Linked DNA regions of Arabidopsis thaliana. The protein of the gene in region 2 interacts with the protein of the main gene of each other region in a pairwise test. Each region holds a gene or a part of one and is shown on either strand. Other genes may lie near its edges.

Region 1 (3,169 bases), on a different chromosome or scaffold from region 2:
TATCATCAACACTCATCAATGCACCAGCATTGTCAAACTCGCCACAGTAATTGGGTGCAGAGAATTTGTCTTCACGAAATCAGAGCTACTTTCCATCTTCATGTATATATTAGCTGATTCAGACAAGAAGGATACTAAGTTACAAGTTTGTTATAAGATGCAAGAGTAAAGGATTTCACTTTGCAGGTTGTATCAACCAATTGAAACAGTCTTGTCACCATAAGTGATTTTAGATTATAATTTGTTTCATGCAAGTTTTTGTGAAAGACTTTTATGGAAGTTCATATATATATATATATATATATATATAATACTAACTGAAATACCAACTTAAAAGTAAAAACAAAATCTCCACAAATGGATCTGTTTTACAGTTATAACAACACTGTAAAATAAAAAAAGACAGTAGCAGGAAGAATTCAGAAGCAAAAACAGCTTCAATCTCTCTCTGATCAGCTTCCTACTTATAAGTATTGACTGACTCTTAATGAAGCTTCAAAAAACAAATCCTTTTGGACAGATTTGTTAGCAGAGAAGTCTTGAGTTGTCAGAAAAACAATAGCTGTTAGGAATGTTGTGGAGAGGTGGCAGAGAAGATGTCTGTAGCAAACTGCTCCCATCATAGCTCGAAAACATATCTTGAGAGAAGCTAGTGTTACCATAAGGGAATTCATGTGGAACAGTGTTTGAGAGATTAGGATGTTGTAAACCGTTGTTGTTATTGATGATTTCACTCATCATACACAAGTTCTGATCAAAACCATGAAGCTGATCCTGTTGCTGCATCAAGTGATTATTCAACCCGTAGTTATTCGCCGAAAGTAACGGTGAGTAGTCTTGTGTGTTTGACACGCCAGGATGTTGAAAGTTGTTGTTGTTGGTGATGTTGTCCAAACACATGTTCTGACCAAAACCATGCTGCATCTGGTAATTGATGAGTTGATTGGATTGTGAAGCAGACAGTGGGAGTTGTGAGAGAGTAGCATCTCCATGGTTGTACATATACAGCGAGAACTTGCTAGGATCCAAGTGTTGTGTCTGGTTCAGATACGATGGTGTTAAACTCTGATGCACCAAGTTTGTGTTCTGTTTTTTCTGCGACTCAACAATACGAAGCCTTTTTTGGAGAGTAGAAAGTGTTCGTTCTAAGGACTGAATCAATTGAGAGAGTTGTTGAGGAGAGTAATGATCAAAGTTTGGATACCAATTAGGGTTCTTCACATAATTCGTCTTCCCCTTATACTTGTCTTTGTCCTTCACCTTCTCTTTCTCGAGGAACTCATGAAGATTGAGGCACTTCTTGCGTTTTCTGTCCTCTTTATACCTCAAAGCCATATTTTTCACTGTCTCTCTATCCTTAGGCCATGTTCTCAGATCACCGTCTGGTCCGTAATAGATGACGCAAACGTCAATAGCACAGAGAATCGAAAGCTCTTCTGCTTTCTTAAAGATTGTTTTAAGTCTGTTTGTTAAACTTGTTGGATTACATGACGAAGAAGAAGAAGCTTGCTTCATCGTGATTTTGCCTTGATTCGCCAAGCAAGAAACTAGGGTTTTTTTTTTCTCCGACAGAGAGATAACACACAAAGAAGAAGCAGAATTGTGGAATTGATGGTGAAAGATTGTGAAACTTCACTCAATATGTTTATATAGATTGCCTTGGTGCCTACGGGAACAAGCATACGCGTCGGCGACGCGTGAAGAAGATAAAAGCAGTATCTATCCTCAAATCTAGGTTACCTCTTCTCTTATTATTTAGCTTATAGTATATATTACGTCAAATAAGATAATTGTTTTTCAAGTTTCATTTTATTATTTTTATAAATTTTACGTTTATGTTTTTAGAATATGTTTCTAAAAGGTTAGTTGTATAAAACCCAACTTTCTTCAGTTGAAAATGCTGTGAACATCTTCCACAATTTTTACAAAAAAAATCTAAACAAAACATAATGTTGCCTCAACCATAAGAAAACAGATAACAATCTAACAAAACAAACTGTTTGCCTTACAAAATTCGAACCCGTCGGTTTCACTCGTTTCTTGAACCCATCGACGACGAGTTAACGACCTTTTCCACCCTGCAAGAATGTTAACATATCAAACCTGATATCTAACATCTACCTACATTGCATCTATATACAGGGGGATAGTATTTTCACACCTTATGAGGTGGGGTTCCTGGTCTAGGAACATTGTTGTTGAATCCAAATCTTCCTTTCTTCTCAGATGCCTTAAGGATTTGGAATGAACATGTTAAGCTATCATCAACACTCATCAATGCACCAGCATTGTCAAACTCGCCACAGTAATTGGGTGCAGAGAATATTGTCACTAGTTGTCTCTTTGCAAAGAACTCGTATCCATCTTCTACAACCTGCAGGAACAGTATAGTTAAGTAAAACTTGGCTTGGTGAAAAAACTACAGATCCTTGCATTAACAACTGAGTTATGATTTCTTAACCCTCTGAATTCAGAGAACAGTCACAGAGAAGAACAAACCAATCCAGAGAAATCAAAAGAGAGAACTCAAGGAATAAATTTTAGCTTTACCTGATGAGCTCGGCATATAAGATCAAGGTCATGAGTTTGAAGGAACTCAGCTACTTTGTCAGCCCCAAATGTATAAGAGACACCTCTGTCATTCTCCCCCCAGCCTTGAATCTCTCTGTCAGGATCAGCCCACAACAAATCACAAAGAATGCCCTGATCAGGAACGTCAATAGGACGAGGAATTCTCCTGATGTCATCTAAGCTCTTAATATCAGGCGATAGTCCACCATGCATGCAGAGGATCTTATCATCAATGAGAGCAGAAACAGGCAGACAGTTGAAGCACTCGGTGAATGTTTTCCATAAGCGAACATTATATCTTCTTTTGCATTCATCGTAGAATCCATATACACGGTTGATTGAAGCACATTCGTGATTGCCTCTGAGAAGAAAGAAGTTGAACTTGTATTTGACCTTATAGGCAAGAAGAAGGCATATCGTCTCTATGCTCTGCTTACCACGATCAACATAATCCCCAAGAAACAAGTAGTTCGCAGCTGGTGGATAACCACCATACTCAAACAACCGCAAGAGGTCTGGAAACTGACCATGAACATCTCCTGCTCATCAACATATAAACTTAAAACCATCAACAAAATTACAAATCATACAGTTATGA
Region 2 (3,095 bases):
TAAACCTACAAAACAAAAGTAGCTCTGGAAATCTCAATAATGTAGTCTCTTAGAAGGATCCACAAAGGCCACAGAGAAGAAAACATAATGCTTAATAACAAAGATGAACAATGTGGATTTTGCCAGAATATTTATGGCTGTGAGCTTGTTTCTTCAAGAAGTCTCTACCTTTTAACTTCTCAAAAATCAAGTTTCTTAAACAAGTCTTCAATGCTGAGGATGTCACAGAAGAAGTCTTCAACAAACCTGTAGCCATGTTTTGATCACAGAAGAATCAGTACTTATATGTTTCTAATTGATACAAGATTCTTCTCCAGCAAAACCCTGATTTCTTCTTCCAAATCTCACTTGTTCTTCTTTCAGAATCTTCCATACGAATCTTTGATTCTGTTGTAATTCTCACAATCTCTCTATTTCTCACACTCCTTTACGGTTTCATTGTCTTTAGAGAGAAAGAACAAAAACTATTTTCTTTTAATCTTCTACTTTGATAATATTCTTGGATACTCTTACACAACACAAACAACACATACATATAGTGGTTTTGCTCCACTTGGTAGACTACACACACTTAGACTCTAGACCACATCATTGTCCTAAGACTTACATCATCCACTCTACTATGTTGGAACTCCAACACCTTAATTCACTCTCTTAGTTTACTTTAGTTGTCACAACCTCTTCTTGTTGGACCTTAACTAGACAACTTGTACAAAACACTTATTCGTATGGGCCTTATCTCATTACCTATGACCCAACACACAAAACACAAACCCATTTGGTTTGTTGACTTTCTTCTCTTCCTTTGACTCCTCTCTTCACGACGTCTCTTCTCCGCCATCGTCTTCTTCTTCCGTTGCTTCTTCCTTTGTTCTTCATCTTCTTCTTCTCACCAAGCTTGTTATTCTTGTAGGATTTAGTTTAGGATACTCAATTCCAACAGATTCTCGTAATCTCCATATCTAGATCCTCTTCCGAATCCGTAATCACCAATTCACCATTATCAACCAAAAGCTTGAGTTTTTGTTGTGTATCGGACATTGATTCACCAGCATAAAACAGAGATTCCATACTAGGGTTTGAGATTGTATTCTTCAATACTGTGTCGTCTTCTTCTTCCTCACAAAGTTTGCAATTTTGGTTTTTGGATTCGTAACGGTCACAAAGAGAAGAAGAGAGGCTCCTAAATATTTTGTTGTATTGACGCTTTTACCCTTCATAACGGTCTTATTTTATTGACCGTTGACCAAACCGGTTAAAGGAAGAATTTGCATGTTGGTTTACTCGTCCTCCTTCGCTTATTAGACAATCAGTAGTAAACAAATTCACCGACTAAACCAAAAATTCCACTAAATACAGATTCGGTTTAACTAAACCGGTCTTTGTTTGTATTAGATGGTTTTGAGTAATTTACTTTTAGAAAAGGAAACAGTTTTAATTTTTCGTTTAATTACCGATTAGGGTATTATCAGTAAAAAAGGAAATCAAAATCGATGTTGTTTCAGGTGGTTTTGTGTACTAATTACTTTCAAAAAAGGAAAACAAGTTTATTTAGTCGTTTAATTACTGATTAGCAATTATCAGAAAAAGGAAATAACATGGATTAATTAGAAAACGAGTTAGGGCTACTAAGTCTATATATATATCTATCTGATTAGAACGAGAGTGAGTCCATTATCATATTCTTCTTTCGCAACAAGCGGCAGCACACAAAACTCTCAAGTCTTGTCTCGTTCTCTTTTGTTTGTGAAACTGAGAAAAAAAACAGAATGGGTGGCGTGAAGAGGAAGATTGCTATAGAGAAGATACAGAACAAAAATCCACGAGCGGTTTCATTCTCCAAACGTCGTAAGGGTCTGTATAGCAAAGCTTCTGAACTTTGTCTTCTCTCGGACGCAGAGATTGCGATCATAGCGACTCCTGTTTCTTCTAATTCCAACGCCGCTTTCTACAGTTTTGGCCACTCCTCTGTTGATAATGTCGTCGCTGCTTTTCTCGCCAATCAGCGTCCTTGTGATGAAAGGTTTTGGTGGGAAGATGAGAGTCTTCTAAAATCAGAGAATCTGGAGGAGTTGAGAGAGGCGATGGATTCAATGTCGACTATGTTGCGAGATCTCAAGGAGTTGGAGAAGCAAAGAGATCATCAAACGCAAACCCTAATTCATCAGCCGTGTTCTGCAAGGGTTTGCATTCAAGATTATGTAACTGTGAATTTCGATGGGTTTAACACGGAAGAGCAAACCCTAGCGGTTTCTGACAATAGTAACAACAACGGTTTACTTGGAAACTTGGATGAGTGCAATGAAGATTTTGATGATCTCGATCAAATCTTCGATACGGTGACAAACTCTGAATTTTTATCGGTGAATTTGGAGATGGATGATGTAACTGTGAATTCTGAAGGGAACACGGAAGAGCAAACCCTAGCGGTTTCTGACAATAGCAACAACAACGGTTTACTTGGAAACTTGGATGAGTGCAATGAAGATTTTGATGATCTCGATCAAATCATTGAGTATTTGACAAGCTCTGAAGCTTTATCCATGAATTTAAAGATGGATGATGTCTGATGCATGCCTCTATGGTGACAATTTGTGTTTATGTTGAAATTGGATCCTTGATTTAAGTATTGCTTCGGTTTAGTATATCTTTGTATGTCTTTTATCAGCTTATGACTTTATTTGATCTGCGTGATATTTTCGTATATCTAACCAAAACATAAGAGCATCCCCAACCACAATACACCAAATTTTAACACCAAATTTGATATTTTGGTGTTTCAATTGTTTTATCATCTCCAACCATAACACCAATTTCACACTAAAAATATTACTTTTTATTATAATATTATTAAACTTAAGATTTTCTTTATTTTTTTAATAGTTTGATATACATAACATATTTCATAACTAAATTATTTTAACTTAATTAATATAAGATTACAATCGATAAATTGAAAATAACAAAAAAAAATTACATTGTACTAATTCTCAGAATTAGTATATACGGACCACAAGTGTTCAATTAATGCATTTCGAAGTTTAATATGAGCTTCACGGTCTTTGATTTTCCTGTGTCGAGCTAAAAATTCTTGA
Region 3 (3,499 bases), on a different chromosome or scaffold from region 2:
TAAATTCGAGGATATTTTTTGTTTGAAGAATTTATTATTGTTCTCTTATTACACCATCATAATTTTCAGAGATGAGAGTGAACATTAGTGATGGAGATAGTATACAAGTTACACACTAGTCAAAAATGATTTACTTGCCCTACTTTGTGATACAATTCTAATTGGATGTTACTAATAGGCAAGCTTCTCTTACTTTACTACATGTTTCATCACCACAATTGTTTGATTGCTTTGCTTGTTTCTGCTACTTGCTACTGTATTGCTTGTTGTTTTGAGTTTCGTCGATGTGCCTCAATTTAACATGTTAGTTAAAGATTGCTCGAGTTTTTATATCATATATATGTAATAACTAAACCGAAAATACAAGTTGTAACTTTAAAACTCAGAACGAAATCTCTACAGATTAACAAGCGTACTCAAAAATAAAAATTAACAAGTGAATCAAGACTCAAGAAAACAGCTTCACTATCTCTGTTCCGCTACTTCACCATTGATCATAGCCATAGAGTTCATGCTGCATCAACTGATTCAACCAGGGGTTATTCACAGATTCTTGTTCTGTGTTTGAGACGCTGTTGAAAGCTGTTGTTAATGATGTTGCCCATAGACATGTTTTGATCACACCCATAAAGTTCATGCTGCATCAACCCAAAATTAGTCACAGATTCTTGAACCGCTTCTTTGTTTGAGACTTGAAAATTGTTGTTGGTAAAGCACATGTTCTGCTCATAACCACAAAGCTCCTGCTGCATTAACTCAGATTGTCGTTGGTTATTGACAGATCCTTCTACCGCCGAGTAATGTTGTGCCTTTGAGACGCAAGGATGTTGAAAGCTGTTGCTATTGATGTTACCCATACACATGTTTTGATCACAACCATATAACTCCTTCAGCATCAACTGATTCATCCCAAAGTAGTTCACAGATTCTTGTACCGCTTCTTTCTTTGAGAAGTAAGGAAGTTGAAAATTGTTGTTGGTGATGTCACCCATCCTCATGTTCTGATTCTGATCATAACCATCCTGCTTCATTAACTGATTCTTCAACTCAGATTGTTCAAGTAACGCTGAGAAATAATTCTGATTGAAATTTGATGCAGAGACTGAGATCTGAGACAGAGTATTGTCTCCATGGTTATACATAAACAGCGAAAACTGTCTAGGGTTCAAAGATTGGGTCTGATGATTCAAAGAGGATGGTGTTAAACTCTGATGATCCGGTTTTGTCTGTTTCTGCGACTCAAGAAATCGAAGCCTTTCTTGGAATTTAGAGACATGGAGTTTTAAGGACTGAGTCAGTTGAGAAACTTGGTCGGGAGGGTAATGATCAGCGAGTGGATACTTTAAAACATTCACGTTCTTCTTAAGACAAGTCTTCCTCTTATTGTTCGGATTCTTCAAACCCTTCTTCTTCTTCTTCTTCTTCTTGTTCAGGAACCCATGAAGATTAACGCTTTTCTTGCTTCTCAAGGCTTCGTTTAATTGACTATACCTCAGAGCAATGTCTCTCACTTTCTCTTTCTCCTTAGGCCATGTCTTAAGTTCTCCGTCTGGTCCGTAATAGATGACGCACGCTTCGATATCACAGAGAGTGCAAAGCTCTGAAGCTTTCTTGAATATAGTCTCAAGTCTGTTACTCAAACTTGTGGAAGCGAGTGAATAAGAAGAAGAGGAAAAAGGTAATGATCGCATAGTCATCTTCTTGTTGGTTTCGAAGACAAACTCTCTGTTTTTTTCACGTTCAAAGTTAAGAGAAAGCACGAAGGCGAAGAAGAATAAAATTGAGAGAGTGAAACTAATGTATTAGGTTTGGAGAGTAAAATCATATATTTATAGATGTAGAAGTAAAGATTTGGTTTTCATAACCACTCACGCTCATCGGTAAGAAAAGGAAATACGAGTATAGATTTGATTTCCGTATTTTATAGATTTAATAAAAAGAAATTTTCACTGGATGAAAAAAGAATTGCTCTCATGGTTTGTCAAAGTGAGATATGGTTTTTACCGTTTGTCTTTTCAGTTGTTTTCAGACTAAAATACCCTTAATGGGAGCAACCAAATCACACAGCACTTGATTTCGGTTTAGTTTTTCTGGTTTTGTTTTGAAACTTAATGGTTTACCCTTAATGGTTTTGTGATTTTGGTTTATCCTTAATGGTTCAGTTTTGAAAAAAACAAAAAAAAAACACTGAAACAAAGAAACAAAGAAGAAGAAAAAGAGAAAGAGACGGAGTAATTCGAGAGAGAAGTAGAAAGAAGTTCAAAATTCATTATCCACTCCTTCATATTTCGACATCTCTCCATTGAACTCCAAAATTGAGGAACAAATTTCTTGTTTTCAGAGATGAACAAAATGCAAAAAAAAAGCTCCTAGATACAAACACTTTAGCTTTTTAAACTAAAGATACTCTAAGTTTACAAGATTTATTTATAAATAGTAATCAAAACGTAAAAAAATGAGATTTTGAGAAAACTGATAAAGACGGCCGCAAAATTAGGTTTGCAGAAAAGGATACACAGGTTGAAGATGACTGGAAAATTACAATTATACCCTTCATCGAATTTTTTCTGTGTACGTACACGAAATTATTTATGGAACATATATGAGACGATTTCTAATAATTCAAACTATTTTATTACGTATTCTTATATCTCAATAATCTCAATACATACATAATAATTAAATAAAAATAGATGGTGAAATAATGTACGTACATTTTTGTTGGTAAATTAATGTATGTACATGTGTAATAATATACGTACATCTTTGTTTGTGAATGAAATTATTAAGAAAAATTTATTAATACAATATTAAACCAATATTGGCAGTGGCTGAGATAAGACATTGTTTGTTGTATGATTTTTCTGTTCTTAAAAACACTTCCCAATCTATAGTGTAGGTACATTGGTACAAACCATGTTGACACATACTTCTTCGAGTCACAACTGGTGTACGGTCACCCGAGTGAGAAATGTTATCTCCGCCAGGTACACGCTGACTTGTGTACGTACACTCTGCCAACAGACGACTGAATTCCCCTGGTGTGAGAATGACGTTCTCGTCAACATTCCCTATTCCATATTCTTCTACAATTACATCGTTCCACTTGTTGTAATCATAATCTTCGCCACTACTTTCACTACCATCAATAGTAGGATCGAGGGTACTTCCCCCTATAGATCCATCGTCACCCTGATAATCATCATACCCACCACCATCTTTGTTGTCCCCCTCCTCTTCATCCTCATTTGTTTTATCGTCTTCATCGTCGTCTTTCTCATCTACGGCCTCATTATTTTCATCAACATTTGAAACACTATCACATACACGGTCACTTTCAGCATCATCACCATGAGTCCTAGAGACATTATTATCGGGTGTCTTGACGGTTGTAATGAAAGAGACAAACAAATTGAGAGAAGGATACCGACCACGAATTAAAAAGAACGTATCCAACCCCACTTGACTGTCAATGTAGACAGGAGGGCGTTTAGTATCT
Region 4 (3,040 bases), on a different chromosome or scaffold from region 2:
TTTTTTATTTAACAAAATTTGATGCTTATACATTCTCTTTTATCATACATTTTAATTCTACACATTCAAGCTTATTGATGATATTTGAATTCTAAATAATAACCTACAAATTTCTATCTTACACATTCAATTTTGCAATACAATTTAAGTATCTATTTCATCATAATATACTCGATTTTCATTCTAAACACTTCATCTTAAGTGAATTTTTTTTTATTAAAAAAATATATTTATATCAGATCTAATATATATCTTTGTTGATATTAAAAAAATAATAAACAGTAAACAAAACTTAACAAAAAAAAAATCCACAAAAATATTTGAAAAGCAAAACTTTTTAAAATGTTTCTTTATATATGGCGTAATTTTCTCTTATGTAAACTTATTTTAAATGAGTTAAAATTAATTAAAAAATATACTAACTTCTTTTTAAGTAATTGAAAAGTAAATCATATAAGTTGTTCTCTCCAAAAATCTTGTGTTTTAACTTATGACTACATGCGTTAAATTTTTTACAATAAAACATAGTTATAAGCTTTTAGTGACATATCAAAGGATCCAAGTTGCTCAATCACCGAATACGTTAAAATTCTTAGAATAAATCTTAAATATTTAAAAATTTATTATAATAAGGTCACTAAATTTTAAAAATATTTTTGTGTTCAAAATTTAACAAATGAAAACACTATATTACAATGATAAACACAATTTTATCCAATTAAATTAATTTTAAATAAATTATATTGTTATTTTAAACTTAAGTGGTCTTTTTAATTAGTTATTATTCATACTTAATGATTTTTCTTTTAAATTAATACATGATTATTTATTTAATTGACCAATAATATATGTGTTTTCAAATTTGTTAATTTTCTTTTTTGTTAAGAAAAATAAAGTTTAAATATTGTTAGATATATATAAATTAATATATGTAAATTTTTCTTTTTAAGGTTTTTTATTTTTTTAAGAGAATTAAAAAGTTAAATCTTTAATGACACATGTAAACATCTCAATGTTAGATTTGACACGTGCCACAATCTTATGAGGTAGTAATTTTGAAAACTGTACTTTATATAATAAGAAATTAATATATGTAAATTTTTCTTTTTAAGGTTTTCTATTTTTTTAAGAAAATTAAAAAGTTAAATCTTTAATGACACATATAAACTTCTCATTATTAGACTTGACACGTGCCACAATCTTATGAGTTAGTAACTTTAAAAACTATACTTTATATAATAAGATACTGGATGTGGGAAATCGTATCTAAGATCGTATCTACAACGGTTACATTGATATTGGTAAAGGAAAATCGTATCTAATTAAGATTTATCTCATAGACAGCAAACAAAAAGGGAATTTCATTACTTAAATATCACAACGGTTAGATTAATAGAAGTAAATCATCATCATTTAACGAAGAAAAGATACTCTAAAGAAAAAGGAAATAAAACCCACAGCTCAATTTGTCTCTCTTGGTTTAGTAAAATCAATATCAAATATTATATGGAAATACAAGAATTTCACAATTCTATATAACCCTGAACCGTGTGTTAGTTACACTAAGTTTATTTTCTAGGTTTCTCTCTGATAAGAAACTAGGTATCTTCTTCTTCTTTTTCTGTGGGTAAACAACAACAATGGATTCTTCAATGTCGACGAAGAAGAAAACCAAATTGTCTGTGAGAAACCAAACTTGTTTCAAGAAATCGTCCCTGTCTTCTTCTTCTACTGCAAAAAAGACCACGAATTTGTCTATGAGAGAACAGACCATGTTCAAGAAAGCCTTGGAGCTTTCAACTCTGTGCAACATCGATGTCTGTGTCATATACTATGGTCGTGACGGAAAACTCATCAAGACATGGCCGGAGGATCAATCAAAAGTTCGAGACATGGCTGAGAGGTTTAGCAGATTACACGAGAGAGAGCGATGCAAGAAAAGAACCAACCTTTCTCTGTTTCTACGTAAGAAGATCCTCGACGACACTAAATTGTCGGAGAAAGTCTTAGAGATGGAGGATTCGTTAGAAAGTGGTCTACGAGTACTACAAGATAAGCTTCTGTTACTCCAACCCGAGAAAAACCAGACCGAGTTTGGTCAGACCCGTGCGGTTTCTTCCACAACGAATCCATTGTCTCCTCCTCCTTCGCTAATTGAGGATCATCGTCATCAACAATGGACAGAACCATTGATGAGTGGTGTGTCAAACACAGAGCAAGACCTATCGACGTCATCATTGAGTCAAAATCAGAGCAGAATTTCAGTCTTTCTCTATAACCATGACAACCGTAGCTTCTATCAAGTCCCTGACTCAGTTTCTAGCTTTGACCAATCGGCTTTACTTGGGGAACAAGGATCTGGTCTAGGAAGTAACTTTGATCTTCCTCCCATGGTTTTTCCTCCTCAGATGCAGACACAAACCCCACTTGTCCCCTTTGATCAGTTTGCGGCATGGAATCAAGCACCGTCGTTTGCAGATCCAATGATGTTCCCTTATAATTAGTTCTTGTTGTTCCAAAAACTGATCTTTGACTTGGTGTACGTTTTATAATGATCTATTATATATGTATTCTTCATTTAGATTATGAGTTTAACTGTCTCTTCTTGTGCCTGATTACGAGTTTGTATTGAATTGTATGTTTTCCCAAGTATGAATGCTATTTTCTCAAGTTTCTAAAAACAGTCTTGGCTTCTTCTATAATTGTCTGAGTCTTATATTTGAGTTTGAAAACCTGCTATGTTCAGATTTTTAATATACAATAGATATTGAAGGTTAGATGTCGATAATTTATGCAGAGAAGCCAACTTTGATGAGTCAGATGCTTTGGTGACAGCTTCCAACAAAAAATGTTGTTAAAAGTAGTGTTTTGTCCAAGAGGTGGAAAAACTCTGGCTTTGTTGGATATTTGATGCCAATGAATTTGCAGATTACAATGCCTAAGTGAGTTTTGTCTACGTATATACGCCAATAATGAAGCTATACAGTTGCTTATCTCGTTTTACCCGATTCTTGAAGATTTGAGTATTGCAATAAAGGGT

What was found.
Region 1: the proteins of AGL97 (region 2) and AGL52 interact in a two-hybrid assay, tested with the Arabidopsis thaliana proteins (one large-scale study listed by BioGRID).
Region 3: the proteins of AGL97 (region 2) and AGL76 interact in a two-hybrid assay, tested with the Arabidopsis thaliana proteins (one large-scale study listed by BioGRID).
Region 4: the proteins of AGL97 (region 2) and AGL53 interact in a two-hybrid assay, tested with the Arabidopsis thaliana proteins (one large-scale study listed by BioGRID).

Annotation. Positions count from the first base shown.
Region 1 is NC_003075.7:6,847,924-6,851,092, reverse strand, and holds AGL52 (AGAMOUS-like 52), read right to left. Parts: upstream 1,516-3,169; coding exon 526-1,515; downstream 1-525. Other genes in the region: TOPP7 (Calcineurin-like metallo-phosphoesterase superfamily protein), read right to left, coding at 2,061-2,078, 2,162-2,374, 2,551-3,110.
Region 2 is NC_003070.9:17,231,610-17,234,704, reverse strand, and holds AGL97 (AGAMOUS-like 97), read left to right. Parts: upstream 1-1,753; 5' UTR 1,754-1,769; coding exon 1,770-2,570; downstream 2,571-3,095. UniProt on the Arabidopsis thaliana protein: Putative transcription factor.
Region 3 is NC_003076.8:16,050,077-16,053,575, reverse strand, and holds AGL76 (AGAMOUS-like 76), read right to left. Parts: upstream 1,698-3,499; coding exon 540-1,697; downstream 1-539.
Region 4 is NC_003076.8:9,526,101-9,529,140, forward strand, and holds AGL53 (AGAMOUS-like 53), read left to right. Parts: upstream 1-1,640; coding exon 1,641-2,504; downstream 2,505-3,040. UniProt on the Arabidopsis thaliana protein: Probable transcription factor that may function in the maintenance of the proper function of the central cell in pollen tube attraction.